Struthio camelus: one gene and its partners. The protein of the gene in region 1 binds, or shares a complex with, the protein of each later gene. Links are inferred from orthologs where the notes say so. Each region holds a gene or a part of one and is shown on either strand. Other genes may lie near its edges.

What was found.
Region 2: NUP214 (region 1) and NUP98 share a complex: the UniProt entries of both Homo sapiens proteins name them as parts of the nuclear pore complex. The link is inferred for Struthio camelus from reciprocal best matches to the Homo sapiens genes NUP214 and NUP98.
Region 3: NUP214 (region 1) and NUP160 share a complex: the UniProt entries of both Homo sapiens proteins name them as parts of the nuclear pore complex. The link is inferred for Struthio camelus from reciprocal best matches to the Homo sapiens genes NUP214 and NUP160.
Region 4: NUP214 (region 1) and NUP188 share a complex: the UniProt entries of both Homo sapiens proteins name them as parts of the nuclear pore complex. The link is inferred for Struthio camelus from reciprocal best matches to the Homo sapiens genes NUP214 and NUP188.

What each region holds. Positions count from the first base shown.
Region 1 is NC_090961.1:6,136,846-6,144,837, forward strand, and holds the start of NUP214 (nuclear pore complex protein Nup214), read right to left. Parts: upstream 3,014-7,992; 5' UTR 2,662-3,013; coding exon 2,620-2,661; intron 1,019-2,619; coding exon 823-1,018; intron 1-822. Other genes in the region: AIF1L (allograft inflammatory factor 1-like), read right to left, coding at 5,794-5,881, 7,670-7,832. UniProt on the Homo sapiens protein: Part of the nuclear pore complex. Has a critical role in nucleocytoplasmic transport.
Region 2 is NC_090942.1:224,224,210-224,231,317, forward strand, and holds the start of NUP98 (nuclear pore complex protein Nup98-Nup96), read right to left. Parts: upstream 2,901-7,108; 5' UTR 2,872-2,900; intron 2,735-2,871; exon of another isoform or gene 2,566-2,734; intron 1,464-2,565; exon of another isoform or gene 1,404-1,463; intron 899-1,403; exon of another isoform or gene 742-898; intron 595-741; exon of another isoform or gene 455-594; intron 1-454. Other genes in the region: PGAP2 (post-GPI attachment to proteins factor 2), read left to right, coding at 2,901-3,065, 4,882-5,134. UniProt on the Homo sapiens protein: Plays a role in the nuclear pore complex (NPC) assembly and/or maintenance. NUP98 and NUP96 are involved in the bidirectional transport across the NPC. May anchor NUP153 and TPR to the NPC.
Region 3 is NC_090946.1:5,690,228-5,698,126, reverse strand, and holds the start of NUP160 (nuclear pore complex protein Nup160), read left to right. Parts: upstream 1-4,892; 5' UTR 4,893-4,925; coding exon 4,926-5,128; intron 5,129-5,274; coding exon 5,275-5,485; intron 5,486-7,034; coding exon 7,035-7,257; intron 7,258-7,642; coding exon 7,643-7,721; intron 7,722-7,899. Other genes in the region: PLEKHG3 (pleckstrin homology domain-containing family G member 3), read right to left, coding at 1-45, 132-201, 365-465, 595-807. UniProt on the Homo sapiens protein: Functions as a component of the nuclear pore complex (NPC). Involved in poly(A)+ RNA transport.
Region 4 is NC_090961.1:7,136,262-7,143,919, forward strand, and holds the start of NUP188 (nucleoporin NUP188), read right to left. Parts: upstream 3,002-7,658; 5' UTR 2,968-3,001; coding exon 2,942-2,967; exon of another isoform or gene 2,857-2,941; intron 398-2,856; coding exon 343-397; intron 1-342. Other genes in the region: DOLK (dolichol kinase), read left to right, coding at 6,147-7,658. UniProt on the Homo sapiens protein: Component of the nuclear pore complex (NPC), a complex required for the trafficking across the nuclear envelope. Required for proper protein transport into the nucleus.

The DNA of each region.
Region 1 (7,992 bases):
TTTAAAACAATATGGTTTATGCAAATCCCCTCCCCCAAACCAAAAACACACACACCTAACAGATAGTCCTATAAACAGCAGCTGTCAAAATTGACATATGGAAATTCCCTCTGTGAAAGCCAACCCTTCATCTCTATCAATACTGTTTCACCAGAGGCTCTCAAATTCTTAAGTCTGAGAAATTCTTAAGAAAATCCCATTTTCCTTCCTCACTAACCTGGAGGAAAAATAACTAGACGCGTTTTAGGTTTTACTTAAGGGAGCACGTGGATACTTTGGTATAGCCAATACATATATACATACACAGTATATAGTTATTAAGGAAAAGGTGAGAATGAAGACAATTTTGCACTTCGGTTGTGAGCTTGTGGAACAGTGATTTCTTCCTCTCTTGCAAGACGGTTGTTTATTCAAAGCGGATAACTCGGTGCAAGAACTCTACTCCACTCCACTCACACACATCCTGAATACTTATCCAAGTTCACAGCCCAAAATCTGGCTACCAAAAGAACGCGGGGCTGCAAGAAAAGAGGCACACTCTCACATACGAAAAGCCAATCTCACCATACGGCACTGAACACAGGAAACCAAACCTGAATGACATTTGAACGTGAGCTAGCATAGAGCATCCTGACAGCGTGTTCCCAACGACTATACTCTGCATCAGCTAGAGTTGCAGCAAGTTTTCTTCCTGCATGATTAATACCATAAAACCCAGTAATTTTAAATGCGTGACAAGGACTGTGTCAGAAGCCAAGAGCTCCATACCATGAAAACCTATATAAAGCTGTCTCTGCACAAACACCAGGAGACATGCCTTACCAATTTTATTGGGATCTTCTCCCAGCTGATTTTGCATGAGAAGATTTTTAGTGTGAAAGATCTGCAGACTCGTTCCCCCACCAGCAAAGACCAGCCCATATTTGTTAGACACTGCAAGAAGACTGGACCGCTCTTTGGGAAGATCATCAGGAGCATCAAAGATCCGGACCTTCTTCAGCGCTCTAAACTGAAAATCCTGTTGTAAAAGAGTCAGGAAATAGCTGTTTGTATGCTGGTAACGAGGATCAGTTTACTTCAGTTTCTCTAGGACGGTAAGTTGAAAGGCCTCTCCTTGAGAGCTGCAAAACACCCCTAAGGCAGAGTCCAGACCCACACTGTCCCTGGCCATCCTATCACATTTTCCATCTCATACACTCACTTGCGCTTCATGTAAAGAGCAGCTTGTTTCCATACCTTTTTAAGGTGCATCTTATCTTATCCGCATAGCGCCTACAATTCCCATTATTTACTTCATCAAAAAACTAGTGGAAGTTACGTACACTCCAAAGACAAAACGACTGACTTTAAAATGCTTTACCATAGGTTACCATAAGCCTGTTTTCACAAAACCTGTAGGAGTTTAGTACGTTCAAGACACCTAGCCCTCTGCAAAACGTACCTGAAACTAGCTAATAGATACAGAAGAAAAAGAGAAGGGAACGAAATAGAGAAACATACCGCATGACTAAATAAAATGCGTTTTCTTAGAGACCCAAGCTGCAAAGCACGCATCTATCTAGACGCATCTTTTTTACTACTGTAGTAGCAGTTTAACATACACAGAACAGACATGGTTATTCCTTCCACTGTCCCCCAGGGATTACTTTGTATAATCAAATGTATGTTGTGTGCTCATTCCTCTCATAATTTGCATTGTCATTTGTAAAAGTGGGAAGAGCAGAGCAAGAGATAAACTGCAGAAGTTATAAAGCTACAGAAACACAAATCGACTGCATTAAGAAACAAGTTACGCTATTGTCAGGTGAAATGCTAGACTCCCTTTAGAAATGACCCTGACCCTGTCCTCCCAAAATGCCAATCACTGAATAAAGCACTACTTCATTTTTTCCAAAGCACTGAGTAAGTGCATTCCTGCACGGGAAGGAGGCTGCAGAAACTTAGAACCTCCTGCAAAACAGCCTGACTCCCTGGTTTTTGGAGGTGCCTGAACAGAAAGCAGCTGCACAAAGATGCACATGGGCTTGGAGCATCTGCACAGACAGCCCTGTCTCACCACATTCCTCCCTGTAACACTCTGGGACAGACAGGGAAGCGCTAGTCCAGGACAAGACTCCAGTTTACTCGCCATACGCGGAGCCCCCCACGTTAAGGCTGTGCTCAAGTCTACTGTTCTCAAGGCAGGGGAACCCCAGCACTAGGCATACTGACAGGAGGACTGACAACAGCATCAGTCCTCTCCCAACATAAACTCCAACTCTCCCTTTTTCCTCTCTTAAAGATGTCAGCTCGCCCAAGATCCATGAAAAACAGCAGAGCCCACAGCCAAGCCCTTTATCATCCTCGCAGCTTTACCAAGCCCCCCCTCCACCGCAGGCCAGGCCAGGACACGCCAGCCCACCCTTCCTCCACCACCTAGCCTGTCCCAGAGTCTCCTAAAAGGTCCTCAAGTGCTCCACAGACCCTGGAAGGCTCCCTCCAAAGTCCCTGCCCCCTGTCAGCCCACGCCGCCCCCCCCCCCGGCACGCTCCCCCCCTCCCCCCCGGCACCGAAATCCATCCCCGAGCCCGACGACTTCCCCTCTCACGGCCGGCCTGCCCTCGTCCCCCCACCCCTCACCTTCATCTCCCGCTCGGGGATCACGTCCATGTCGTCCCCCATGGCCACAGCGCCGAGACCCGCAGGCCCCGCCGCCCGGCGCACAGCCGCGAAACCCCCGCGCGCTCCGCCAGCGCCCTCACTTCCGCTTCCGGCGGGGCCGCGCTAGCCAGCGCTCTCGATGGTCCGCGGCGGGAGGCGGCGCGAGTCCTCCAGGGCCGCGGGCCTCGCGGCCGGAGGGGGGGGGGGGAGGAGAAGGAAAGGGGGGGCCGCGCCGGCGCTTTAGCGCTTCCCCCTTCCAGGCCCCCAAAACCAAGGGCCCCAGGTGCGTTTCCAGAGCTTTCCGCAGCTGCGCGGAAGCTGTGGCGAACCGCGTCCAGGCCCCGGCCGCCTTATTTTCTGACGCAGCCGCGGAGCCTGTCAGGAAGGCGGCGCGGGCCCCAGGGTGACGCAGGAGAAGGGCCCTGCCCCGTCACCCCCCCGGGCAGCTCCTCTCCGTGCCCCTGACACCCACTTGCTTTAAGAACCGAGAGGGCGGGAAAAAAAAAAAGCCTTCAAGGGAAAGGGAGCCGCGTCGCAAGCGAGTGCTTTTGGTAAACAAAACTCCTTAAAACAAGCGCAGCCACCTGTTTCCTTTCCACGAAGTCAGAAGAAGGCTGGCTTTCAGGAGGCGGCCTCTGCGCTCTGTAACACGAGCTCCACAGCGCTCGGTCAGCTGTTAGGTTGGGGCCTCCTTGATCTGATCTCTTATCTCCAGGATCTAGTGGAGGGTTTATATTAACCAACTTGGAAACGAGCTTGTTTAATCTGCAACTGGTCGTTTGGTCCAAGCTTCAGAAAAGCCAAACTAAATAAGGGTGACACAGGGTGTAGTTTCAGAAGATTTATTTTTGGTCTTTTCAGTAGACTGGTGCTGCTCTTCCTCACTGTTTTTATCTCTCCGTTACAGTTTTCATTTTCACGCAAACAGCAGTGAGAATTTGTTTTTTATTTAAAAGTGCAGCCTTTGGCAGGAACAATAAGTCTAGCATAGAGTTACAATCATCTGTATTTCCTTTTAAAAAATTTATTAAACAATGATTTTTAAAAAGTTAAAAGCTGCCAAGAACATGTAAGGGGAGGGAGGAGAAGAAAGCAAATATCTGGAATCCAGAAATTGTGCATAGAGCAAGAATCACAACAGTATCCAGAAGGTTGATAGAGTCCCAGCTACCTCTAGATCCTGGCATCCTACTGCATGCTTGTAAATCATTCCTATTTTGCAGGCTTGAGATTTTCTACATCAGGAAAACACACCCAATCGTCCCATGAGACAAAGCTGAAACATACGCAGAAAGATCTGCAAAAATCAGAAAGCCTGAGCAGCAGCACGAAGATAGATCCTCATCCACAATGGTCTGGAAAGACTTGCAGAGCTCACAGTTTAGTCAGCAGTTTCCTGAACCTGCAGGTTCAATTTCCCTTAAGCCTTCCTCAGGGGCTGTAAAGGCCTAACAGCAGGCCTGCTTCTGCACTTTGTGGACAAGACAGACAGCCACCTGTTCAGAGATTATGCTCCAGATCTGACCCAAGCAGGGATTTATCAGGGAGGGGCCCTAAAGTAGCTTTAATCAGCCTCACTTGAGCTGGCTGGTGTTGCACTCTCCACCTCTTCAGGATAGGTTTGCAGCTTCCCTTTTTTAGATCAGGGCTGTGACTTCACTTGCTGCTTGCCTTTTTTTCCTGTGGCTAACCAGTAAGTCTTGGAGGGCAAGGAAAAGCCTAGCAAACTAGGAAGGGAGGAGGAAGACCCAAGATATTAAAAGCAGCAGTGGGTTGATAGCTTTTCCTCAGCTGACAGACTTCGCAGAACTTGTTCTTTTAGGTTCTGTAGAACTTATGCCTTTAGGTTCTGAGGACCTCAGGGCTCAGGTGGGTTTTTAATCCATCATGGTTGCAGAGGCACCCTCCAGTCTGCCTTCTGGTTTAGAAGCATCCTGTGGAAAATTTTGTCTTTGCCTTGTAGCCAGGAGCCAAAAGCTGTCATCTGGAGACAGTTCTTGCCTATTTCTAATCTCGCTTCTGGTAGGAGCCAGTAGGATGCTGCCTGCATGGTTTATCTGCAGACCATGTTCCTGCTGACAGCTTATGTTTGAGATTTTATCATGTCCTCTCAGCAGGCAAGCTGTAGTGGAAGGGCCCAGTAAACTGGCCTCCAGAACAGAGGGGCACGCTAGCCCTACTGATTTCAGGGAGGTAGGGACTCCAGCCAGTTATTTTTGCAAGTTTAAAAACTTATGATATGCACTTAAGTTCAAGGTGAAGCCCAAAGGAAAGTCCTTGCTGAACTTAGCAGCTAAAGAAATACTCCCTTAGGACCATCCCAACCTCAGCAGCAAGCAAAGGTCTTAGAGGAGAGCAAGACCCAGGCACATCATGCTGGCTGAGCAGAGTCTTACTCCTGGGGCTATTGAGACCTGGGACTAAGATCTGCTTAAAGGGCACTAGAAAAGGATCATTAACAGCTCACTTGGCTCAGACTCGTGAAGATCTGACTGCAGGATGAACTCAAGGAGCAGAGAGAAGCCCATCCCTGCAGGAAGCCATGTCCACTCCAAGCATAAAGGCCTTCAAGTAGACCTCTGGTGTCAATGCACCTTCTCATCTTCATTTGGGAAGAGACTAGGCCACAAAGGTGGGAGCCTGACTTGTGTTTTGGCCAGATCAGGAGGGGAAGAACTAGTCCAAAGTCAGGAAGCACAGGATGGAGCAGTGAAGGCACTTAATTCTTTGCACCCATGAAGCTGCTGTCAGGGGCCAGAGCTGCTGCCAGAGAAGCACTCAGCATCTGGCAACGAGACCCCTTAGGAACCTGCAGAGACAAGCACAGCTCTGAATCCACAAGTTGGGAGGAAAGTAGCTCCTTGTCGTCTAGGAAATGCAGAGAGGGCAAGGGAAAGAGTAAGATCCCAGGATTTTTTTCTTTTTGGTCTCACATTATACTTTGTGCTACAGCTTCTCTCTAACAAATCAAGCTGGCTAAGGGATGTAGCAGAAAGATGCGAGCTGGGTGGGGGGTCCCCAGCTTCCCTTGCTGTTCCTCTAAGGCAGGTTAGTTGAAAACTAAGACCGTCCAAAGTAAAGAGTAACAAAGCACAGGTAACCTCTGTTACAGACCAGCAAAGCAAACAGTTCCAATTTTCCAGCCTGTCCTCTTCAAGGGAGGCTGGCTATGTCTCTCTCTGGAGGCGGGCCAGAAGGTTTTGGGTTGCTTTCATTGGCTTTTCCTTCAAACATCATGACCCTGCAAGACAGCAGATAATATAGATGAAAAGAACAAGTCCATCTTCACCCATCATTAGGGGTATACTTCACCCATCATTAGGGGTATATCTCGTCTGCTGAATGTAATGAGCCTTTGCTTCCTATGCAAAGGACATCCCACAACTAACAGGACAGAAAGCCAACAGAGGGCAGTGCTGGCAGCTTAGCAGGCAGCTTTGCTTTTCCAGCAATCTCCAAGAGCGGGTTTCCCAATGCCCCAGCTGGTTTTCCTCCCAAAGCACAGAGGATTAGCATGTTTGCTTTAGACAGCCATTTCCGAATCCCCGGGCATGCACTGCATGCCAAGCACTCCTGATGCATAAAAACATATACCATCCCTGGCCCACCTCATACATAATGACACTGCACAACATTTGAAAGAAACAAAAAAAAAAGAATCAAGCAAGCAGCTGCAGCCAGGCAAGAGGGCAGAGACAAGGAGTAAGGGAGTAGCCAAAGGAATCCTAAGCATTTTGCAACTGCCAGCACTGTCTTCCTCCCTGAGGACCGCAGCCATGCTGGGAATGTCAGCTGCCACGCTGGATCAAAAGATTTCACTGCTCTTGGGACAAGTTTTACATCTCTGCTCCTGCTTCAGAGTCCAACAGACAATGGGGTGCCTGTTTGTTAGCAAAAGGGATCCACCTGTGAAAGCTGCCGCAGTTTAGAGGAAGGATGGAAGATATGGGACAGGCTGAAGGCTCAGCCTGCTTCAGGAGAGAAAGAAGGAAGCAGGGGTGTCAGAAGTCTGTCTGTGCCTGGGAGAACACCACCTTAACACGCAGACCCAGGGCAGTCAGTGCAGAAGAGGAGAGACACATGGCTAACGAGTGTCTACCAGCTCAGAGGGAACATGTGACAGGTGGGCACAGGATCCTTCCTCCCAACCTGCCCAGAAAGCTGGCTGCATTACTAAAGCTGCCTTCAGAAAGGGCCAAGGGGGATGGAGGGGAGCAACTCCTATTCATTAGTTAAAGACACAAAAGCAGGGCCAGCCTGCTCTGTGGTTGTAAAAGGCAAAGCCAGGTTTCAATGAGGCGAATATGGAGCCAAGAGAGCCCACCCCACAGCTAGCAGCAGCCAAGCTAGTGTTCAGAAGCCATTTGTTACAGCAGGACTCAGAGCCCCGTTGAGAGGGCAGAGGAGGCCGTGGGAGGCCAGCGCTGGCAGCTGAAAACCACAGAAAACCTCTACCAGCACAAGCCAGCTGTTTTAAGCATGTGTCCCCTCTCCACCTACTCTCACACTGCCTCGCTCTCCAAAACCAGGCAAGGACAGAGCATCCTATTGCAAATAGGAGCCAGCCCTGCTGGGCCCTCATTCACTGCTCAAGTCCTCACACCATTCACAGGCAAAGCCTGTGTGCAAAGCCAGCAAGAGCCACAGGGAAGAGGCAAGAGGTCCTGCAAAGCTGAGTGCCTGCATGCTCTAGGAAAAGGAGGAGAATCACTTGCACCGATCATGTAGGAGGAAGCCTGCTCTAGCACATAGCAGGCAGCTTTGCCATGAACACCTGCCACTGCCCAGCCCAGCCGCACGGGCCAGCTCTAGATGGTGGAATCCCATCTAGGATCTCAAGCTAGAGGCCTTGTACAGTGGAAGGAACTTGCCCTCCATGAGAGTCCTCCTCTCCCTTCCATGAAGGCCTAGCCCGCACAGCTCCACCTCTACCAGCCAGAGCCCAGGCAGAGCAATTTCTGTTTCCAGGCTCCCCCAACACCCCAGCTCAGATCCTAGGTCTTCCCCATTCCATCCCAAAGGCACTCACAGTTTAAGTACAGCAGAGCGTTTGCCGAGCATTACATTGACGAAGTCCTGGTACGAGATGGTCTCACTAACCCCTCCAGTCACCTCAGAGATCATCTTCTTCAGTTCTAGATGGGTCTTTGGAGCCCCCATTTTCTCCATCATCCTTTTGACAGACATCAAATCTGCAAGAGCAAGGCAGTCAGTGCTACTGAGATGCAATTACACCAAGCACAGACCAATCCTAGGATGCAGGCCTGAGTTCCCAACTCAGACCACCTCACCTATGTACTCTGGGGCTGACAGTCAGCTGAGAGCCAAAAGAAGCCCTCCAGTACAAACCAT
Region 2 (7,108 bases), on another chromosome or scaffold:
ACACCGCGTTAACAGACCCGTGGCGCTGCTCCCAGACCCCCACCGCTTTAAGCCCCTGAAAGCGGGGCAGCGCCTACGCTGCCGAGTTTACAGGTAACGTGTAAACGCGCAGCGGTTGTGGGGACGGAGGGCTCGGCTTCACCCCGCGCGCCCCCCCCCCCCACGGAGCCAGCCCGACAAACTCCCACACCGCCACGGCCCGGCGGGGGCCGGCCCGGCCGGGGCGCTCCGCACCGCCGGGGGCGCGGAACCGAACCGGCAGCGAAGGTCACCCGCAGCCCCTTCGCGGTGGAGGCGGCTGGGGAACAGCGCGGCCTCCCCCCCTCCTCACCGGCCCGGCCCGGCCCCGGGGCCGCGCGTGGAGCCGCGGCCCGGCCCTCCCCCCTTTCCCGGCACCGCCCAACAAAGGCCGCGGGGCGCCCCCCGCCCGCCCGGGGCCGTCCCCGTCGCTCACCGCGGGCGCGGGTCGCCGAAGGGCCGGGGGAAGGGAAGCGCCGGGCCGCGCCAGGCCGGGCCGCACCGGGCCGGGCCTCGCCTCGCCTCTCCCGCGCCGCCGCCGCCGCCTCACAGGGGGAGGGAATCTGCGTCACACTCCGCTCCGCGCGCCTCCCAGCCGCCCCTGCGCCGCGGCGCGCGCGCCGCTCCCGCCTACCCTATTGGCCGGCCCCGCCCCCGCGCGCCCGCCGCTCATTGGCTGCCGCTCTTTGAAAGCGAGACGGCTCCCCTCCCCTCCCACCTCACCCTGGTGGGAACGGGAAGCGAAGGGGCTGCTGCTCTCTGATTGGCTGCAGCCACGCGCCGCGTCCTGCGGCGACCCGAGCGCCGATTGGCCGGGCCCCGGGAGGGGGAAGGGCGGCCACTGAGGAAGGGTCCAGAACAGCCGCACCACTGGGCTACCCTACATCCGGGGCGTTGGGGGGCGGGACTTCCCCCGGCCTGGCCAACCCGGCAGCGCCGGGCCGCCTCCATGTTGTGACGCAGCGGGCGGGGCCGAGGGCCTTAAAGGGGCGCCGCGGGGAAGCACTTGCTCCACCGGGGGGGGGGAGGCGCCCCGCGGGGCCGAAGGCGATTCCAGCCCCACGCGCGTCCCCGTGGGGCGCTCGATGTTGACCCAGAGCCTTCGGCGCCGCCGTACGCTCCTGTGGGGCTGCACCAAAGAGACACACAAGCTCTTGGCCCTGCCGCGCCCCGCGTGGGGCCGCCCCAGAGAGCCCTCGGGCCCGCCGCGCCCCGCGTGGGGCCTCCCCGGAGCGGCCTCGGGCCCGCCGCGCCCCGCGTGGGGCCGCCTCAGAGAGCGCTGGGCCCCGCCGCGCCCCGCGTGGGGCCGGAGGCGGGAGGAAGAGGAGGGATGAGCGGGCGCGGCCTGGCCCAGGGTGGGCAGGAAGAGGCGGGCGGCGGGGGGAGGAGGAAGGGGAGGACGGGGAGGAGCGGCGGCGGCGGCGGGACTGAGCCGTGTGGGGCCGGTGGGTGCGAGGGGGTCACGGGGGGGGGAGACGTGGGGGGAGCGGAGAGCTGGAGGGGTCACGGGGGGCCGGGGGGAGCAAGGGGGAGTGAGGAGCCGGGGGGGTGGCGGGGAGCGGGGGGGTGGGAGGGTCGTAGGGGCAGTGAGGTGCCGGGGGGCGGTCACGGGGGGAGTGGGGAGCCGGGGGGGTGGCAGGCGGCTGGGGGGGGTCACAGGGGATGGGGGGAGCCGGGGGGGTCGTGGGGGCAGTGAGGACCTGGGGGGGTCATGGGAGGAGGTGGGGGGAGTGGGGAGCCGGGGGGGTCACGGATGGAGCTGGGGGGGACTGGGGGTGGGTGACGGGGGGAGTGAGGGGGCCGGGGGGGGGAGCAGGGGGCTGAGGGAGTCGTGGGGGCAGTGAGGAGCTGGGGGGGGGTCACGGATGGAGCTGGGGGGGACTGGGGGTGGGTGACGGGGGGAGTGAGGGGGCCGGGGGGGGAGCAGGGGGCTGAGGGAGTCGTGGGGGCAGTGAGGAGCTGGGGAGGGTCACGGATGGAGCTGGGGGGGACTGGGGGTGGGTGACGGGGGGAGTGAGGGGGCCGGGGGGGGAGCAGGGGGCTGGGGGAGTCGTGGGGGCAGTGAGGAGCTGGGGGGGGTCACGGATGGAGCTGGGGGGGACTGGGGGTGGGTGACGGGGGGAGTGAGGGGGCCGGGGGGGGAGCAGGGGGCTGAGGGAGTCATGGGGGCAGTGAGGAGCTGGGGGGGGTCACGGATGGAGCTGGGGGGGACTGGGGGTGGGTGACGGGGGGAGTGAGGGGGCCGGGGGGGGAGCAGGGGGCTGAGGGAGTCGTGGGGGCAGTGAGGAGCTGGGGGGGGTCACGGATGGAGCTGGGGGGGACGGGGGGAGTGGGGAGCCGGGGGGGGTCACGGATGGAGCTGGGGGGGGCTGGGGGTGGGTCATGTTGGGAGCGAGAGGGGGGGTCACGGGGGGCCGGGGTGGGGTGGGGGGTGTTGAGCTCTTCGGACGGTCACAGCGCTGATTCGCTTTTCGGCTTTGGCCGCGCGGGGGCCGGGCCAGGCTCTCACGTCGCCCCCCCCCCCCCCCCCCCCCCGTTTGCCCGCAGCCCCCCCCAGCGCGATGCCTAGAGCGGCCGCGATGGCCGAGCCGCCGCGCAGGTAACGGCCCGGAGCCGGAGCCGGACGCAGCCCTTGCGGCAGACGCTGCCCCCGCGCCGAGGAGCTCAGCGCCGCCGGGGGGGCCGGCACGCCGCCGCCGGCCTCCGACCCTCGCTGGTAAGCTGCTTCCCCCCTGCCAGGGTTTGACGGGAGCCCCGGGGGGTGGCTCCGCAGCCCGAAAGAGGGGCCGCGTCCTTTGGGGGGGGGGGGCGGAGGGCTGCACTTCGCCACGGGCTGCTCCGTCCCCTTCCCACCTCCGCTTCTTCTTTGCAGGTCCGTCGACATGTTACAGGTACCGCTGCCCCTGGACCGCGATGGGATCCTGTTCCGGCTCCGTTTCACCACGCTGGCTGTTGGCACCGTGTTCTGCCCGCTGTTTGGTTTCCTTTTCTGCGTGATCTGGTCTCTGCTGTTCCATTTCCAGGAGACGACAGCCACCCACTGCGGGGTAAGCGCCTCTCACCGGCCAAACGCAGAGGTCTGCAAAGGGGGCGCCTGGCGCGGCGGGAATCCTGCCTTGCTCCGCGCTCTCCCCCCCGCCGGGATACGTGACCTTGGATACGTTCCTCTCCGTTATTGTGCTGCTGATGCCGCGTGACTAGCGGTTGAGGTTCCCGCTTTTAAAAAGGGATGGAGGGTAGCGCAGCCTGGCCTGGCCGACGTCTGTGCTGAGCAGGCGGGTGGTGACTGGAGAGCAGAACTAGCGAAGCTGCAGATAAAGATGGTGTCTCATGGAAGAGTTAACCCAGCTTTGGCAAAAGGAGTTCCTGCCTCTTGGAGGCACTGGAGGAGTCGCAAGCGCGTGCCTGGGAGCGGTCCGGTTGACAGGGACCTCTTGGGTTCCCAGAAGGGTTCGGATCAGGTTCCTCACCAAGGCTTTCAAGCAGCCGCGGCACAAGCGTGGAAGTCTGTGCCTGCACAAGCACCTAGCGAAAAGGCAGGAGTAGATAATCTCAGCTCTCACAGCAGCAGGAGGAGGTGACCTCAGGGTGTTACAGGTGTCTGTGGTCTTCCTTGTGCCCGTGCGCAGTGGGGTGACGAAGACTGCTGGCGATGGCAAGGTGCTGGTGCAGGAAGGGTGAGGCAGGCTGTCAGGGGCTGCGTCCAGGGCGGGACGCAGCTGGGCGACCGAGCAGCAAAATGCCAGTGCGGTTCCATGCAGAGAAATAAGTGATGTGCATGTGGACAGGCACTCCTGAGGTTGCCTACAATGAGGTGGAGGTGGGCTCTGCGCTGACCATCGCCGCTCCGGAGTGAGGTCTGGGGGAGCGATAGATGTTCTCGTGAAACTTCCACTCGGTGCTCAGGAGTAGTTGAAAAAGTCAATCAAAGCCCAGGAGTTGTTAGGAAAGGAGTAGAGCAGAGCGGGCGGCATTCATGCCGGTGTTGGCCCGTGGCTGAGACGTGTCTTGAACAACGCGTGCAGGTCTGTCCCCTCCTCCCAAGCAGCAGTACGGGATCTGTACGGAGGAGAGCAGCGAGGATGCTCAGAGGCGTCACGTGGGGATGACGAAGTAAGCAAGGATCCTTCATTGTCAAATGGGAAGAGATGATGAGGTGGGAGAGGTAGGATAGAGACCTCTAAAGCCATGGCTGGCGTGCAGAGCACAGACAGGGATCCCGTTCGCCCTCTGCCAGCGTCAGAGTTAGAGGACGCCGTATGGAGGTGGCAGGTTGGCAGCAACCCCGTGGGACCCGGCTCCTCCTCAAGCAGAGGGTAGTGGATCTGTGGACTGTCCATCCACAGGAGACTGTGGGTACGCAGCTCTACCTGGGTGCCGGCCAGACCGAACGAGATCACGGAAGAGTAATCCGGTGTGGATTACCTGCTACGTAGCCATCGCAGCCGGCTTGGGAAGTCCCTGAGCTCTGAATCCTTGAGGCTGGGAGTCTGTTCTGGGGCTGTATCACTGATGTTTTGCTTGCTTTTATGTTCCTCCCTGAACATGCCTTTTGCCCATTGTTCCTATCAGTTTTCCCTGTTAGGGATGGGCTCCCAAAACCATGCACTGCACCCTTCTCTCCTCTCTCTCCCAACCGCCCCTGCTGCTCCCTGAGACCGGCCAAGGATCCTGCACCCTGGCCGGCGCTGGAGACCGCGTGCTGGGCTGGATGGACCCTGAGGCTGAAGCAGGACTGCTGCGCCGTTGCATTCCCTGGCTTGTGACACAGGAATAAAACTTACCTCGCCGATCGCTGTAGCGTCTCGGAGAGCCCGCCACACGTTCCCTGTGCCTCTCCAGCAGCTGCTGTCTTCCCTCCAGGTCCCCAACTACCTGCCCTCCATCAGTGCCGCGATCGGGGGCGAGACCCCTCAGCGCTACGTCTGGCGGCTCTGCATCGGCCTCCACTCGGCGCCCCGCTTCCTGGTGGCGATCGCCTACTGGAACCACTACCAGAGCTGCCGCTGCACGCACCCTCGCTACCTGCGCCTCTGCCACTTCAACCTGCTGCTCAACCTGCTCGAAAACTTCGCTCTCCTCGTCCTGACCTACGTGTCCTCGTCGGAGAACTATGGTAGGTGCCCCTTGCCGCGCTCTGCGCCGGCCGCCTTGCCGGTGGCTTTGCTCGCGGTTGCCGAGGTTTCGCAGAGTTCTGCTCCGTGAGGACGTTTTGGAAGTAGTCCGTTTGGAGAAGAAAATAGTTTAAAATAAAAAAGTTCTGCTTCAAGTAATGTTTATATGGCAAAATTATATCCACAGTGTGCGGGTGGAACTTTTCTCCCTGAAACGCTGGGTTGCTGTTAATTCGCCCAAACCACAGGCTGAATTTTTGTAGCAAGCTTGAAATCAGAATTTACGGTTTGGTTTCCGCTTCTGTGCTGAGACCATGCTTAACGCTTCTTGTCACAGTCGAGTGTACAAAGGAAGATTAGTGCCTGTTCCTGCTATCAGCTGAGGTTTGGCTCAGAACTGGCTTCCAGCCTACGCTCTGTCCTGGCAGCCTGTTAAATATCCTCGCATGACATTTTCTGGGTGAAACTTCCTATGTTGATCTCGGGACAAGTTAGATTTTTTGAGGTTAAATCACAGCATGCAAAACAGGATCAAGACGGGCTGGGAAACGCCCTTCTCCCGCGTGGTCTCGTCGGCAGTGACTTTCACTGCGAGCGGTGACGCGCGACGGCTGACTCGAGCCGGCGCACCAGCAAGGGGGTGCTCTTGCAGAGGAAACAACCCCAGTTCTGGGGCTTGTTGGCGGGACGGTCGCGTGTCAGATGTTAGCGCGCTCCGCTGGGGTGACGCTGCCCGGCTCTGGGTGCTGCGCGCGAAGGACGCAGCCGCAGAGCCCCACCAGAAGGAAGCCAAGCGCAGTCCCGAGAAGGAAAGGCCGCGGCAGCGTTAGTTTGGGGAAGGCGAGGGAGCAGCGCTTACCCGCCGCGGTGAGCGGGGTGAGCTGGGGTGCAGGAATGCAGCTGATCCCGTACTCGGCAGAGTATGTTTGTACCCACAGCGGACGGGAAAAACCAATTCTCAGAAGGCAGACGCGGTGGGTGTCGGGAAGCCTTTCGATTGCTTGGAGCAGCAAACTACCGGGACGGGCTACGGCTCCGTCACTGGGGCCCTCCAGGAGCACGGGGAAAACGCCGCGGGGTCGAGCGGATCCCGCCTCGGCGCAGAGGACGGGATGCGCCGTTCAGATGCCCCAGAGCGCATTGCCATCCTCGAGGATATGCCTTGCAAAGGGCCACGGCGCTCCTCCCCGGCGGGCTGGTTACCTGCAGAGCCCTGGGGCTCGTTGCACTGATGACAGCTCCGCCAGACGTGTGCAGAGCCCTGGGCGGAGGTGGCTGAAGCACAGCCGAGGGGGTGGGCAAAGCCTATGCTAAAAGCTAAGGCTAACCCAGTTTGCTCTGCTCTTCTTATTATAGACTAATCTCAGGTTCCTAGGGAAAGTCTCAGACCGTAGCAGCAGCCTCACATGACGGTGGGCTCAGTTTAATCATCTCTGGCAGGACACTGCTCATGTCTTCACAATAAGAGCTGCCTCTGCGGTCTTTCTTTGCTGTGGTCTGATGCATCCTCTCCCCTGAAACAGGGAGGGGAAGGCAGGGAAGCGTCGCTCCTTGCGGTGGGGTGTCCTGGTTGCTATTTCCACTTGCGAATTCAGTTCTTGGAGGAAGAAGCTGGGAAATTCTTTACTGAAATGGAAGCACTCACTTAAAAATAACTCACCTGAAGTTGCCTAGGCCTTGCCTAGCCAGTGTGGCTTTGGGGCCTCTGGGATTACTCGGGTTTAGGGCTGCTCCAGCCAGCTGTCTTTCTAGCCTGACCCCAAATCGACTTAAGCTCAGCGACGCACAAGCAGCCTTAGCGTTAATGACGGGGCTGGTGGCCCAGTTGTTAAGTGGCAGGTAGGTGACGCGGGAAGCCAGGTGATGGCCCGATCTGGCTCCTGGACTGACTCACTCTGCAAACGACCCTCTGTGCCTCAGTTTCCCCATCCCTAGGACCAGAGCAATGCTGCTGGCTGCCTTTCTAGGGTGCTGGA
Region 3 (7,899 bases), on another chromosome or scaffold:
GGGGTAGTTGTTGCAGTACTGGGTGTAAATATTGAACTCCTGGCTCTGCGGGGAGGGAGGGAGCGAGGTGAGAGCCCGGCCCGGCCCGCCGGCCGCCCGCGCCGGACCCATCGGCGCGGAAGCCCCCTTACCCGGGTCACGAAGCAGACGGCCACGGCTACGGGGTCGTGGTCGCAGCCGTCCAGGTTTTGCAGCAGGTTGCTGGGCGGAGAGAGAGCAGGGTCTTAATTGGGGGGGGGGGGACACAGGAGCGCCCCAGGACGGGGCGAGAGCGGTGAGGCCGCGGCGTGGCCCCTCACCCCGCCGTCAGGCCTGCGGGCAAGGAGCTGCGGGAGGTACCGCCGGGAGAGCCGCGGCCACTCACCTGCTCAGCTCGTAGATGTCCTCGATGTTGCCGAAGAGCGCGCTGACCTGCTCCGGCCGCAGCAACGGCTCCTCCGCGTCGATGATCTTACCCAAGTAACCCTGCCGGGCGGCCGCAGTCGGACCACGGCGCCGGCGGAGGGGTGTGTGTGTGGGGGGGGGGGTCCGTCCCCAACCAAACCCCGTCCCGGCGCCGCCTGCGGACACCCCCGCAACGGCCGAGCCGCTCACCTCCACGATGCCGCGCAGGTCCCGGGCGTAGGTGCGCTCCGACTCCACGATCTCCAGCACCACCCGCTCCAGGTAGCCGGGACGGGCGCCGCGGGGTGCCGCCGGGCGCCCGCCGCGGGGTGCCCGCCAGCTGGCCGGCGACGCGTTGTTGTTGTTCCTGTTGCCCGGCCCGCCGGCCCGCTCCTCCAACCCGTCTCCGGCCGCCTCCTCCATGGCCAAGCCGGCGGCCGGGGTTCAGAGCCAGGCGCCGCGGCCGGGTGGCCGCCGGCATGTCGGCATCTCGGGGGCCGCCGGCCCGGCCTGCGGGGAGACGCGGGGCGCCGCACGTCAGGCCCCCAGACGTTTGGGGAGGAAAGGGGGGTGGTGGTGGGGGGGGGGATGAAGAGGATCCCACCCCTCTCCAGGCCCCGGACCCCGGCCGGGCCGTGGCGAGGCCCGAGGCGCTCGGAGGCCAGACCCGAGGGTGACCTCGCGCTCTCCCCCCTCTCTCCACCTCCGCCTTTCGGGGCTCCCTTCCCTCTTACCCCCGAGCGGCCCGAGGAGGAGGAGGAGGAGGAGGAGGAGGAGCGCGGGCAGGCGGGCGCCGCCGCCGGGCAGAGGCCTCGAGGGTGCCGGGCCGCCAACCGGTCAGGCCGGTTCGCCTCGGCTCCTCCCCGGCGTTTCGGGCCCTACCGGGAGGTTGGGGAAAGGGGGGGGGGGTCCGTTCCCCTATTTTGGGGGGGGGGGGCGGTGGGTGCCGTCTGGGCGGGAGGAAGACGAAGGAGAAGGCCGCCGGCGGGTCGCCGTCCGGCCTAATCGGCTCAAGGCGCCGACCTGGGGGGGGATTTAGGGAGCCGGGCCGACGTCACCGGCAGACGGGGGCGGCCGGGGCGGGGGGGGGATCGGCCCCGTCCCGCGGCGAGGCGCGTCGGGCGCTTCCCGCCTTCGACGCCTGTCCGTGGGTCGGGAGCGGGAAGGGAGGCGGCGGCGAGCTGGGGGCCGGAGGACGGAGATCCCGCCGGAGCAGCCCCATAAGACGGGGCGTTGTGGGGTGGCTGGGAGGGGGGGGGATCGCCGCTCAGCAGGCGTTTCGGCCCCGTCCCCCCCCCAACCCCGGCCGCCCTGGCAGAGCCACGACGGCCGGCCGGTCCCAGGGCCGAGGCGTCCCGGACGTGGGGGGGGGGGGGGGGGGGGGGCGGAAGCAGAGGTGGTGGTGGTTTGGGGGGGGGGGTGGCGAGGGGTCACCCCCACGTTAGGCACCCGGCCGGCTCCGTCGAGCCGAGCTGCACCCCCCCACCACCACCCCGCGCGGGGGCCGCCCAAGCCGCTTAATCCCGCCGCGTGGACGTGGGGGGCGCGGAGTGGGGTGGGGGTGGGAACGACCCGTCCCACCGCAGCACCGTCGGGACGAGCAGAGGGGGTGGGGGTGGGGGGGGCGGCGCACCCCTCGCCGGCCCCGCCGCGACCCACGGCCACGCCGCGGGGCAGCCCGCCGCCGCCGCCGCCAACACCGCCGCCCCCCTCGGGGCGCGCGCGCGCCCGCGCGCCCCCCGCCCCGCGCGCGCGCGCGCCCGCGCCGCACTCACCCCGCGCCGCCGCCGCCGCCGCCGCCGCCGCCCGGGCCGTGCCCGTGCCCGCAGGAAGCGGCGGACGAACGAGCCGCGGGAGGCGGAGACTGTGACCGCCCCGCCCGGGCCGCTCCGACCTCGCCCCGGTACCGGACACGGCGCTGTCGCGGTTATGGTGTCCCGGACACGGTCCCGTGGGGAGCGAGGGTGGGGGGGGGGGAAGCGGTGCCGGCACCCACCCGGGCTGGGGCACCCTGGCCGTGTCCCTAGGGGGGACCCACGGCCGTCTCCGCGGGGGTGCCTCTAGGGGCTCGGGCGTCCCACCGGGGTCCCTGCCCGCCCCAGGGGACGTGGGCACCCACACAGGACCCCCACCCCAGGGGATGTGGCACCTCCCTGGGGTCCCTTCCCCAGGGGACGTGGGCACTTCACTGGGGTCCCTTCCCCTGGGGGACGTGGGCACCCGAACAGGGTCCCTGCCCCGAGCTGTGGGCACCTCACTGGGGTCCCCACCCCAGGGACATGGGCACCCAGATGGGGTCCTTTCCCCGGGGCACATGGGCACCTCACTGGGGTCCCTTCCCCAGGGGACACGGGCACCTCACTGGGGTCCCTTCTCTAGGGGACACGGGCACCTCACTGGGGTCCCTTCCCCAGGGACACGGGCACCCAGATGGGGTCCCTTCCCCAGGGGACACAGGCACCCAGACGGGGTCCCTTCCCAGGGGACATGGGCACCTCCCTGGGGTCCCTTCCCCAGGGGACGTGGGAACCTCACTGGGGTCCCTTCCCCAGGGGACACAGGCACCTCACTGGGGTCCCTTCCCCAGGGGACACGGCCACCCAGACGGGGTCCCCGCCCCGGGGGACACGGCCACCCAGCCAAGATCCCCGTCCATGCGGGGTGCCCCACCAGAGCCGCCACCGGCGCGGGCACGTCCCCCGGGGCCAGAGGTGGGTGCTGCGACAGCCCTTGCCGCTACCCAGAGCATGACGGCGGGGGGGGTGACGAGGAGGAAGCTCCATCCCGGGAAGGGGGCCAAGTCGAAAGCCCCCCGGGCGGGGGGTGGGGGGGACCCGGAGGGGGCGAGGTGCCCAACCGAGCAGCCCCGCGGCACCTGCCACCGCTAGAATGGGGCCATTCTGCCGGCGGGCAGACAGAGGGCTTTGTGCCGCCGGGCGCCGCGCTCTCGCCTTCCCCGCTCAAAGGCAGGATTGTTCAGGGCCTCGTGCTCCCTCTGACCCCCCCCCCCCAGTGCCAGCTCCCCCGGGGAGGTGTTGGGAGTGTGGTGGTGGTGGTGGGGGGGGGCGCTCACCCACCTTTCCCGGCTCGAGCAAAAGCGCATTTTTGGTTTTGTTTTTTTTTTTTTCGCAAAAGCAAAAGTGCTTTTCCTCGTGGCGCCCATCACCGTGGTATCATGCCTGCTCCCCCCCCACCTGTCCCGCCCCCAACCTCCCGAAGGTCACAGCCGTCCCTTTGCCCTTGAGCTCAGCTCCCGCTCAGCCTGGTGTTATAGGGGTGGCGGGGAGGGGAGGGGGGGGGATCCAACTCAGACCCCCCCCCCCACCCCCGGGCGGGTTTAAAGCTTTCGTGGGGAGCGGGACAAGCCGAGCGCCGCCCAGGGACGAGCGATTTGCTTCTACCTGAAACTCGAGCGGCCCTCGACAAAGCGGGAGCGCGAAGGGTCGCGCCTTATCTCCCGCGCGGACGAGGCCGGGGCGCGCGATGAAGGCTACGCGCTCGCCCCGCCCGCCGAAAACGTTTTTGGGGGTTTTTGGGTTTTTTTTTTTTTTTTTTTTTTTGCATCTGTTATTAGCAGCGGACGATTTGCAAGCTAACGCGGGCCTCCTGCCCGCGCGGCGCAGCGGCGGAGCTTGGGCGATTTGCCCGGCGAGGCTCGGCAAGAGGAGGGCGCGCGACTCGACCCCGAACCCCGCAGCAAACCAAACGGCGCTTGCCGCAGCGGCGCCGCGCAGCCGGATGCGCGAGGGGCGTACGGGGCGTTTCGGCGCGCGCGTCCCCGTGCCTTCTCCCGCCCAGCCCTACGCCGGGGCGCGTCCCCATCTTGTGGGTCCCGGCTCCTCTCCCCCAGGCTCCAAACCCCTCTCCCCGGCTACGGTCCCCCTCCTCCTGGCCCCCTTCCCCAAACCCCATATCCCAACACCTCTCCCCCCTGCGCTCGCCCCTCTGCCCCAGGCCCCAGCCCCTCTCCCCTGGCCCCCTTCTCCCAGGCCCCATAACCCACCCCTCTCCCCAGCCCCTCTCCCCTGGCCCCCTCCTCCCAGGCCCCATAACCCAGCCCCTCTCCTCTGGCCCCCTCTCCCCAGCCCCCTCCTCCCAGGCCCCATAACCCAGCCCCTCTCCCCTGGCCCCCTTCCCCAGGCCCCATAACCCACCCCTCTCCCCAGCCCCTCTCCTCTGGCCCCCATCTCCCAGCCCCTCTCCCCCAAGCCCCATAACCCACCCCTCTCCCCAGCCCCTCTCCCCTGGCCCCCTTCCCCAGGCCCCATAACCCAGCCCCTCTCTCCTGGCCCCTCTCCCCAGCCCCCATCTCCCAGCCCCTCTCCCCCAGGTCCCTTAACCCAGCCCTCTCCCTCAGCCCCTCTCCCAGACCCCCTTCCCCATTTCCCAGCCCCTCTCCCCCTGCCTCGGCCCCTGCTTCCCCCCACCCCCACCCCGTTCTGCCCGCTTCCCGTGGTGCCCCGCGGCGCCGCTTTCCCGTGATGCCCCGCGCGGCGGGCGGGCGGGAAGGCAGGAGGCGGCGGCGGCGGCGGCAGCGGAAGATGGCGGCGGCGCTGGCGGAGCGGAGCTGCCTGGAGCTGAGCGGGGCGGCGCGGGGCCCGCCGCGGCGGGTGCGGGAGGTGGTGTTCAGCCCGCCGGGCACCGTCCCGGCCCCCGCCGGCCGTTACGGCGACAGCGCCGGCGGGTTTTGCTACCAGGAGAGCGCCCAGCTCGCCGCCGTCACCAGGAACCGCTTCATACGCTGGTGAGTGAGGCCGGGCCCGCCCTCCCCCCCCCCGGCTCCGGCGGCCTCGGCCTCTGCCCTCGCCCTGCGGCCTGGGCCTGGGCCTCTCCAGTGCCGCCAGCTGGGCCCCCGCGCCTCTCCCCATACCCTCCCTGCTCTGCCCGCAGGACCACGTCGGGGGACGAGGTGGAGCTGGTGGAGGAGTCGCTGGACATCAACCTGCTCAACAACGCCGTGCGGCTCCGCATCCAGGGCTGCCCGCTGCTGCCGGGCGGCGTGCACGTGTGCGAAGTGCAGAGCCACCTCGTCATCCTTCTCGCCACTGCCCAGACCGTGCACCGCCTGCTCCTGCCGCACCCTGCCCGCATGTACCGCAGCGTGAGTACCGGCACCTGCCTCTCCCGGAGGTCCTGTGCGTAGGCATGGCGTGCAGGTGCTTCCAGGGCCTCCTGCCATGCCAGGCACCCGGCTCCGTCCTGCAAGTATGCAGAGCCGGGAGCCCTCAGGACAGCACCTAAATGAGTAGCGAGATAGCAAAGACCTCAGGGTGTTTCCCATCGAGGTGGGGACGTCGTGGTATTTCCAGCACTGCTGCTGGGCATCCTGCAAACCTGGTGACGCCACACTGCGGTCGTCATGCCTGGGTCATAGGGGCTGACTGGGTATAGAAACATTTATGCTAGATTGCTAACGAATACAAAGCAGAGCTCTTCCTGTGCTTTTTGGAGTTGGGCACACAGATCCACGGCAGTCTGAATATTTCTTCTTAGTAAATTAGTTTGTTTCATAGCTGTGTGATCAAGATTTGTATCCTGTGCTGGAACCCTCTGGTGTTTCCAGAGGCGCAGAGCTGCAGTGTCAGTTTAGGGACGTCTCTTTAGTTTAGTGGTTTAATTTCTTACTCAAGTGACCTCCTAACTTTTCTAGCTGAACTGCTTTTTAGATGTTATAAAATGCTAAACTCACAAGTCCTCTAATTTTTGGCCAAATACAGCAAGTTTGTTCATCAGTGCAAGGTAGATCTCTATGTGGAACTGAAAACTGCTGGAAAAAGTATCTGTCAGTTTGGAGGAAAAATCAAGGAATCTCTCACTTCCTGTAGAGCTGAATTTAGTCAGACTGCGTGCATGGATGAGGCACTGGTCATTGGAATAAGATTTACAGTGTTTCCATATTTATAGTGTTAGAGTGGCTTGGTGTCACTCTGGCAAGCTCCTCATCCTGCTTGTCTCTAGCCTTTGGTTATGGTTGCTGCGCGTGTATTTGTTCTGGTGTTGTATTTGCTCTTTGCAGGTCTTAGGCTAGGCATCGTGACACAGGGGCCAAAATGGTATTTGGAGGTAGGAACTGAGCAGTTCAGAGAAAGACGGCTTGGGCGGGTGTGTAACTTGTCCTGTTTAAATAGTAAGGTATATAATCTCTTTTTGTTGCACGTGGAAGATGGATCTTATGCAAAAATTACGTTGCATGTATCCATCCTGGTGTGACCTCTGGGTATCTCTTGGAGAAATCATAATCTCTTGCATTTAGGGTTCAAAAGAGCATTTCCAAGCGGTGATGCTGTGCTTTTGCAGAGCTGCTTTCTTTCTGGGACCTGTTACCAATGTTTTGTTATGAATTCTCTCACAGCAGCCGATAGAAGTAGGACTGCAGGACTCCTTTGGGGATGTTAGCATATGTCAGGGAGGGAGAGAGCGTTCTGCTAGAAACTTACAGGTTTTTAAATCCTTTCACTCTCTGCTCTTAAAGAGAAATGGTCATGGGTTAAACGTAAGGGAAGCCAAAAGTGGTGGTGAGCAGAGAGGTCTTACCAGAAAGATCCTTTTTATAAAGTAGCAGAGTTGCAAGTGTCGTTCCACTGGTGTTTTTCTGTGGCTGTGTGTGTGTGTTGAGGATTGGTACTCCTTTCTCTGTTTCCCGTTTCCAGGAGCTGATAACAGAGAGCCAAATGCAGTCCGTGTTTACAGACATTGGCAAAGTCAACTTCAGAGATCCTTCAAATTACTACATGATTCCCAACGTGCCAGGCCTAGCATCTAATTCTGTTGCCTCAGCGGCTTGGCTTAGCAGTGAGGGAGAGGCTCTCTTTGCTCTACCCTCTGCTTCGGGAGGAATCTTTGTCCTTAAGCTGCCTCCTCACGATGCACCTGGTAAGGAGTGGGAACAGGCTGTGTCTTCATAAATCTATATCTTTATGGAGCGCGGTTTAGTGTTATCCTGCACGCTAACAAATAGCCTTGTCTAGACAGAAACACCCATTCCGTCCTGGATATGCTTTAGGATATGCTCTGTGTGTGTGTGTGTGTGTCACTGTGGTCTTTGCAGTTGTGCTGGTACATCTCAGCCTGTCCAGTAACGTCCCTCTTCTAGTTTTGGACTTCAGCTGATTTCAATTTTTGTCATGTTTATCTCATAATTTCGCTACACCCATGTGCCCTTCTACATCAGATCTGTGAAGTCCTTTGTTGGTGGAAGTATATTCTCTTGTTAGCAAGTACTCGGTATATTTGTTAATACTACTTTTTCTTTTGAAAGGAACAATTTCAATCGTGGAACTCAAACAGAGCTCAGTGATGCAGCGTTTCCTTACTGGTTGGATGCCAACTGCCATCAGGTTAGTGTTTGGTGACAAACAAATGGAACTTTTTTTTTTTTTTTATTCCCTCACATGGAGACCCTTAGTGTTTCTAGTTGAAATCAAAGATAAGTACGAAGGAGTCAGCATCTATAAATACTTTGTCAAAAAGGTTGAGTAACTTGGTCACAGGATCCAGCACAGTGCTGAAGTTGGG
Region 4 (7,658 bases), about 1.0 Mb from region 1:
AAGCACGGGCTCCGTCCCAGAAAATAAGGAAGCAGGCTGTACCACTCATGAATACCCAGGCCAGCCAGTCTAGAAAGTACCACTTGTGTCCGCTTCAGAAAGGGAACCACCTTTTCACATACACCCTTCCAGGTAGAAGTTCATGAAGCAGCTATAAACAAGGAGTGGAAAAATAAACAAGGAGTGGAAAAAGAGGGAAAAAAAAGATCGCACTGAGGAAGAGGGAAAAGCAGCAAAAACATATTTTCACTGATATTCAAACAGCTGCACAACAAATGATGTATTTAGGCCACGAAGTCCATTCAGTGACGGGCAAACCTGCCTCGCCAGACACAGACTTACTGGTTCTCTTAAAGCTGATCTGCCCAGAAGAATAGTCCACAATTCTCTGCTGCTCCTAAAAACAAAGGGAAAAGGTAGAGAGTATTTTACTAATGAACACTGTCTCAGGTTTATATTTAGCTTACTCCTTTTTAAAGTTGCAATTTACTTCAAGCAGATCACATTAAGGTGGTACAGGGAAACATAAACTCATATCAAGGAAGCAGCACATTTATATCAGTTTATTAGCTCAATCTGATTTTGCTATTTGGACATCTGAGGTTAGTAAGAGGAAATCTAATTAAAGTAGAGAGCAATATTTTATCCAATGTCATTTGTTGCTCTCCTCCAAACAAATTCCTCTATAATAGTTTCCTACTCCACTCCAGGTGGAAAATAAAACTAGGTAAAGTGAAAAACGGCAATACTTTCACATAAGGTAGAATGTTTGCCTCAGTTCTTCGGAATATTAACCCTGAGCTTCTTGTTTCTCCCTGTTCCTTACAACTTTGTAGGAAAGCCAGTTTGTGCTATTAAGTATTACAGATCAAATCCTAACTCAGGCATATGCAAACCAGAAAGATGAATCTCCCTAAAACAGCTCTGCAAAAAGTTGCTACCCAAGTAGAACATTTCAGGAACTCGGAGCTAACTGACGATCTTTTAGCAATATAAAACAAATCAAGAGTTAAACAGCACTACTCATCATGCAAAGATTGCTGTACAACAACTCTTATAAAAAACAAAAAAACATACTAACTTATTTTTGGAATAACGTCTTCAAGAGAATTCACTACGGCAATGAAAGTCATCTGTAACTTCTGACACATGGTGCTATTTAAATGGATTATACGCGCTATTATTTTCAGCAGCGCAACCAACCTAATTTCTACCTGCCAATTTCCTTGACAGTTAGATGCACCTCCCTGTATAGCAGCTAAAGGACCTCTCCTGACCCGCGTTGGCAACCAGCTGCGGGTGCAACCTCTCCAGCCCACACAGAGCATTGAAAAGGCCACACAATTTTACCAAGAAAAGCATCCCTTTGTAGAACGGAGCATCAGTATGGCACAGCCAACCCTTCTCATTTTCATTCCATCCAAACCTCTTCTACGATTAAAACAGACCACTGTTTGTTGCCAGTTCGCTAATTAGACTCTAAGAGAGCTAAGAGAGCTAAGAAAGCTCTCTTAATGTGGTCATATGCAACAGTGGTGTTCCTGTCCCCATTAGCGCTTGTAGGCATTACTGTAATTAGACTACTAGGAACTTTCCTGAATCCAAAAACGTTACAATATATGTCAAAATCCACACACAAAACCGAAGAAGACATCAGTCCAAAGTGATCACTGGACCAGGATGTCATCAAAAAAAAATAGCTTCCTGTACACATCTTCCACATCTCTGCTATTTTAATTTTATATTTGCAAAGGGTTCAGTTCTTCAAAAAACGAAAATCAAACCCTGAAATCTATGCTCTTTGTGACAATAACTCTGTGACTTAAAAGAAGTCTGACAGATACCTCCAAAACTTTAGCATAAATCAAGACTTCAGCTTGGCAGCCAAAGCTTGTAAACAGCAGTTCTATTTAGCACTTAATCTTTTACATTGTGGAAGAACAAAAGAAACACAAAATGCCTAAAAAATCACTACCAATGCTTGCTAAGTTTTGGGGGAGAAAAAAACCCAGCCCACTGAAGAACACCACGGAGAGTTTCCACGTTCAAATCCAAAGGGGAGATCCACCTGCTAGAGCGGGCAACTCCAGACCTTCCTCAGAAACATCGCTTTCGTTCCCCCCAAAACGAGGGATGACAGAAATCCCTGAAGATTTCGCCCAACGTCCGCCGCGCGAGCAGACTCCTTCGACCTCTCTAGGGACCGACGGCGCGCACAGACGGAGGCGCAGGGGGTTTCTCCCACAGACCAGCGCTGGGCCCCCTCAGGGCTGGGGGTCCGTCACAGACGGGCGCGCGGCCTGCGGCCACCCCACCCGAGAACGCCCGATCTCCTCAGGTCCCGTCCGAAGGCGAGGTCCCTCACGCAGCTGTTGACCGGGGGGGGGGGGGGGTCTCTTGCAGGCGGACACGCCGGCCTGACCTGGGGGCTCTCGTGGAGGGGACACGCGGCCCCACGCCCGCCGCCCGGGGCGCGGTCTCGCGGGTGGGGGGGGCGGGCAGCCCCACGCACGCCGCCCGGGGGGGTCTCTCGCGTGGGTCTCTCGCTCCCCCCGCGAGGGATACGGTCTCTCGGGGACGCGCTAGAGCCTGCGCGGGGGCGGGAACATGGCGCAGGCCGGCCTGGGTGCGAGACCCCCTCCCTCCCCCCCCACCACCAGGGTCCCACTCTCCCCCCACCTCGGGTGTGTGTGGGGGGGTCCCCCTCAGGGGAGGGGGGCGGGGCCTCGCTGCGCGGGGGGGGGGGCGGGGCTACGGCGGGGCAGGCCGGCGCGGGCCTCGCGGCCGTTATCTCTCCCCTCCCCGCCCCCCGCGGGGGCCCGCTCTGCCCCCTCCCCCCCCCCGCGGAGGGGAGGCGAGGCGCGCGCGCGCGCGCAGCGAGGGACGGTGCTTCCCCCGCCGCCCTCCCCCCGCCGGACCAACCGCCGCCGCGTCCCCGCACCTCGCGCACAGCCCGCCCGCCGCCATCTTCGCTCTCCTCTCACGTGACCCGCCGCGCGGAGCCGGAGGAGGGGGGGGGGGGGCCGGGGGAGGGGAAGGAAGCCCTCCCCCCTGCCGCCGCCCCGCCTCCCCTCTCCGCCCGCGGGTTTGGTCATGTGACGGGCGCCAGCGCCAAGATGGCGGCGTTCTGCGAGGTGAGCGCGGGGCGGGCGGCGGCGGGAGGAGGAGGAGGCCGCGGCCTCTCGGCCAGCCCCGGGCCGAGCCTCCGAGCGGGGCCCGCGGGGCTGCGGCAGCCGGCGGCTGTTGTCGCGGGGAAGGACGGAGCCCGCCAGCGGCAGGAGGGGCGGCAGGAGGTAGACCCGAAACGGCCAGAAAACGCCTCAAAGTTATTAGAAAGTGGGAGCGAGGGGGAGCCCCTTCCTGTTCGCGAGGAAGCGGGATGCGCCGAGGGGCTTCATTTTCCCTTGAGAGGGCAGGGAGGGGGAGCTGCCACGGGCACAGGATGAGGTAATTCAGCAGCGAGGTGCACCGCGTTGCAGCTGCAGGTCGGCGGCTGTCAAAGGCCGCTGCGTCAGAAGAGAAAACCCGCGTTTGAAAGGGTGGTCGTCTTCGTCTCGCAGCCCAGCTGGCGGGCTGCGTGCTAGGGCGAAGCTGTCATGTGCCATTATTGCTGCAAGAGCTGGGCTGCAACCCTGAAGCAGCCAAACTGAGTAGGGATTCTCTTCTGCCTTTAGCCAGGCTCTTCTCAAATAAGCTTCAAGCTTTTCCCCCCCGCCCCCATGCCCAGAAAGAGCAAAGAGTGGGGACCACAAAACCACTATTGGCCCTATCGTCCATGCTAATTCTATTTTTGTTGACTACATGTTGAATTCTTCTTTATTTCAGAAATGAGTTGGTATGGGAGAGAGATTACGTTTAGCTTGATCTGGCTGTATAGCAACAGTAAACGTAGTGTCTTTAGGTTCGGCAATCAAATATTGCAGGCTGTACTGATAAAGATGCTGAAAATCAAGCTACTGAAAACTAAAAGTCAGAATTTTCAGTACGGAGATGTAATAAATAAGAACATTCTCTGGACCCACAACGTAAGGGAGTTGGGCGATACGAACTTTGATAGTCACCCAGTAACATCGCTAATAAAACGTGTATCAGCATTATAATCTGGTGAAACCAGCCAGCACTGGATGAAAAACAGAAACAATTTTAAATATAAACTGATAGCCTTCCATGAGGAAGCTAACGTAGCTATTAGTAATGAGAACGGGAAGCAGAATTTGATAAGAGTTTACTGCTGCTCAACTTAAGTGGGCCAAAAAGGAAGATGTTATTCACAGTTTCAGCTGGAGATATCTTATCAGCATACAGTAGACAGGAGAGAAAGGGGTCAACCGTTCTATTACCAACAGAAATACAGAAACGAATACTTTCAAAGAACCCAAGAGCGATGTCAGTATAATGTCTTTGGCTTATGTGCAGCTAAGACTGAATATCAAATCATGCATAAGGAGAAATGCATATTACCAGAAAACAGTAAACAATAAATAACAATAAAACAATAAATGCTAGTGAGAATTGCACAATATTGAGTGTCCACAGTACTTTGAAGGAGATAGATAAGATGCAACTTAACCTAATAGAATCATCGTGTGTTGCTGATAATCTCAACCATTTATCTTATAGTCCAGGGGTTTAAGGGAATGATTAGTTTGCAGTGCAGCTGCCAGTGGCTGTGAGACTTGATACTGAGAAGGCGAAATGATGTAAATCCAGCCAACATAAGCAAGACACGGGAGTGAGGGGATATAGGAAGCAATGACAGCTTTATATCATGATCAAGAATGTGTTACAAGGTTCACTCACTGCTGAGAATTTCAAGAAAATGATGCATAAATGCCAGCGCTTAGCTAAACAAATCATTTCTGTAAGATTATGATGCCTTTTGGGGATGAGTCCCAAAAAATAGTTTGGCTTGCTAGGATTTGTCAGATGTCATTAATGACAGACTAACACTAGAAGTATTTCTAGTCAGTCAGACAGATTTAGGCTCTATGTAAAAGAGACACGTACAGTTCTCATTTGCAATTGAGACAGCTGGAATCAGGGAGAGGCTGTGACATGAGTTAAGGAGAAACAGAAGCCAATACCTTTCCTTAGAGATAAACGTGAATAAATCAAATTTACTCACTAAGCTGCATAATGGTTAAACGATATTGCTACAACATATTCTAGAGCTAAATAGAATATTGCCAATATATCAAGATGGACTGGAGGTATATTTTAGAATTGATCTCTTCATAACAAATATGATCCGACAGCGCTGTAGAAACAAAACAAATTCAGCTGCTTAATACTAAGGATGGGATGAAAGTCCTCTCATGGCTGTAGGCAAGAGAACTCTGTTCATTTGCTGCTTCTGAGCTCAGTTCTCTGACTCAGCTTACGTTGACAGTTCTAGTAATAGGTCAACTTTAGATGAAGTAAAGTATTTAATGATTGCAATGTTTTCTTTCCTACTTTTATTGTAAACACTATATAATGTTATAAAACAGCTGCTGCAGTAATTGAAGTATTCAGTCATAACATCAGTAATGGAAGGAGAGAGGTACCTTTGCTTTTTGCACAGCAGCGGGAAGAAAAATATTTATCAAAAGGGAAAAAAAAGTCACTGTAAAACAACAGCAAAAACAGCATACAAGATTAGGTCCTAACGTTACCTCTAAACTATGAAATTAACTATATTTCAAATGTACTCAGTGCCTCACCAAACTCTCTGGGAATAGTTATGGTTTGTTTGCTTCATATTTTAGTTCAAAGAGGCTGCAACAGAAGTATTTAGTGTGTGTATCTGAATACCACAGTACTGAGTGGTACTCGGTACTCATTTCTGTGACCGCAGACTGCCTTCTCTGCTTCTCAAATATGGATAAAAGCGTTGGCTGATCCCTTTGTCCGTTTGGTTTTATTTTTTCACTTGGCTTCGTGTTGCCATTAATAGTTTGCCCGTGGCTATCAGTTTAAACTGAGCTTACGAACAACACAGCCGAGTGGAAGCTTTAGCTTCTCTAGTAGTTTTTTTAATTGTGTATTCTTTTTTTAATAGGAATTGCAGTAGGATGAAAGGGAATTCTTGCTAATGGACCACTGTTGAGAATATTTGGGACTCGTGAGAAAGATTTTGAAAGCTTGAGCCACGTCGGACTGGAATCATGTTAAACAAGCCAGTGCTGGTGGAATCGCTGATCGTGTTCATCGTTGTTCTGTGTGTGCACATGGTGGTGTGGGACCGGTATTCCTGGTGCACTATAGCTCTTGCCGTCCAGGCTTTTTATGTCCAATTCAAATGGGACCGTCTGCTCCAGCTGGGTGGGGCTGTATTCCAGTTTCGTACAACAGCGAACAGTGGCCTCCTACCAGCTAGCATGGTCATCCCCTTGTTGGGAATAGTGATGAAAGAGAGATGCAAGTCTGCTGGCATTGTGTACTTTGAACGTTTTGGCATAGTTGTAGCTTCCACTGGCATGTTGGTTGCTCTCTTTCTGTCTGTAATAGCGGTTGGCATCACAAAACCTGTACCAACCAACACTTGCATACTTACTGGTGTTGCTGGCAGTATAATTATCTATACCATGAAGCACTCTTTGACTGTTTCAGAAGTGATAGAGGTCCTAGAAGTGCTGCTAATTTTTGTCTACCTCAGTATGATCTTGCTGTACGTGTTGCCTCGATGTTTTACTCCTGGAGAAGCATTGTTAGTTCTTGGGGGTATAAGTTTTGTGCTCAATCAGCTCATTAAACGCTCACTGAACGTAGTCGAGAGCAGAGGTGATCCCATAGACTTTTTTCTTCTGGTGGCAGTTGTTGGAGTTGTTCTTCTTGGGATTTTTTTCACTGTTCTCTTCGCTTTCATGGATTCAGGTACCTGGATCTCCTCCATGTTTTTCCACATGATGACAGCAGTGCTAGGCCTAGGGGTCATTATGCCTTGGCTTTACCGGCTGATCCAGAGAAATCCTTTGTTCTGGCTACTCCAGTTTCTATTTCAGACGCAAACGAGAGTTTACCTTCTTGTATATTGGACCGTGTTGGCTGCTTCAGCATGTGGTATAGTTTTCTACCAGAACGCTAAAAGATCATCTGAGTCTAAAAAACACCAGGCCTCAACCATAACCAGGAAATATTTCCATTTCATTGTGGTAGCTACTTATGTCCCCGGACTAATTTATGACCGCCAGCTTCTCTACATTGCTGCAGTATTGTGCCTGGCAGTATTTATCTTCTTAGAGTACATTCGATACTTCAGGATCAAACCATTTGGCCAAACCCTTAGGCATTTACTGTCTCTCTTCTTGGATGAACGAGACAGTGGACCTCTAATCTTGACTCATATTTATCTTCTTCTTGGCATGTCCCTCCCAGTGTGGTTGTTTCCAAGACCTTGCGCTCCTAAAGGTGTCTTGTCTGGGGCAGGAGCGTTGGTCCCCTATTCTGGGGTACTGGCTGTAGGAGTAGGAGACACAATGGCCTCAGTATTTGGCAGTGCAATGGGAGAAATCAAATGGCCAGGAACGAAGAAGACCTTTGAAGGGACGATGACAGCTATTTTTGCCCAGATCATTGCTGTGGCTCTCATTCTGATCTTTGACAGCAGCGTGAATCTGAACTCTAGCTATGCCTGGATTCTGGGGTCTGTGAGCTTAGTTTCTCTTTTGGAAGCTTAT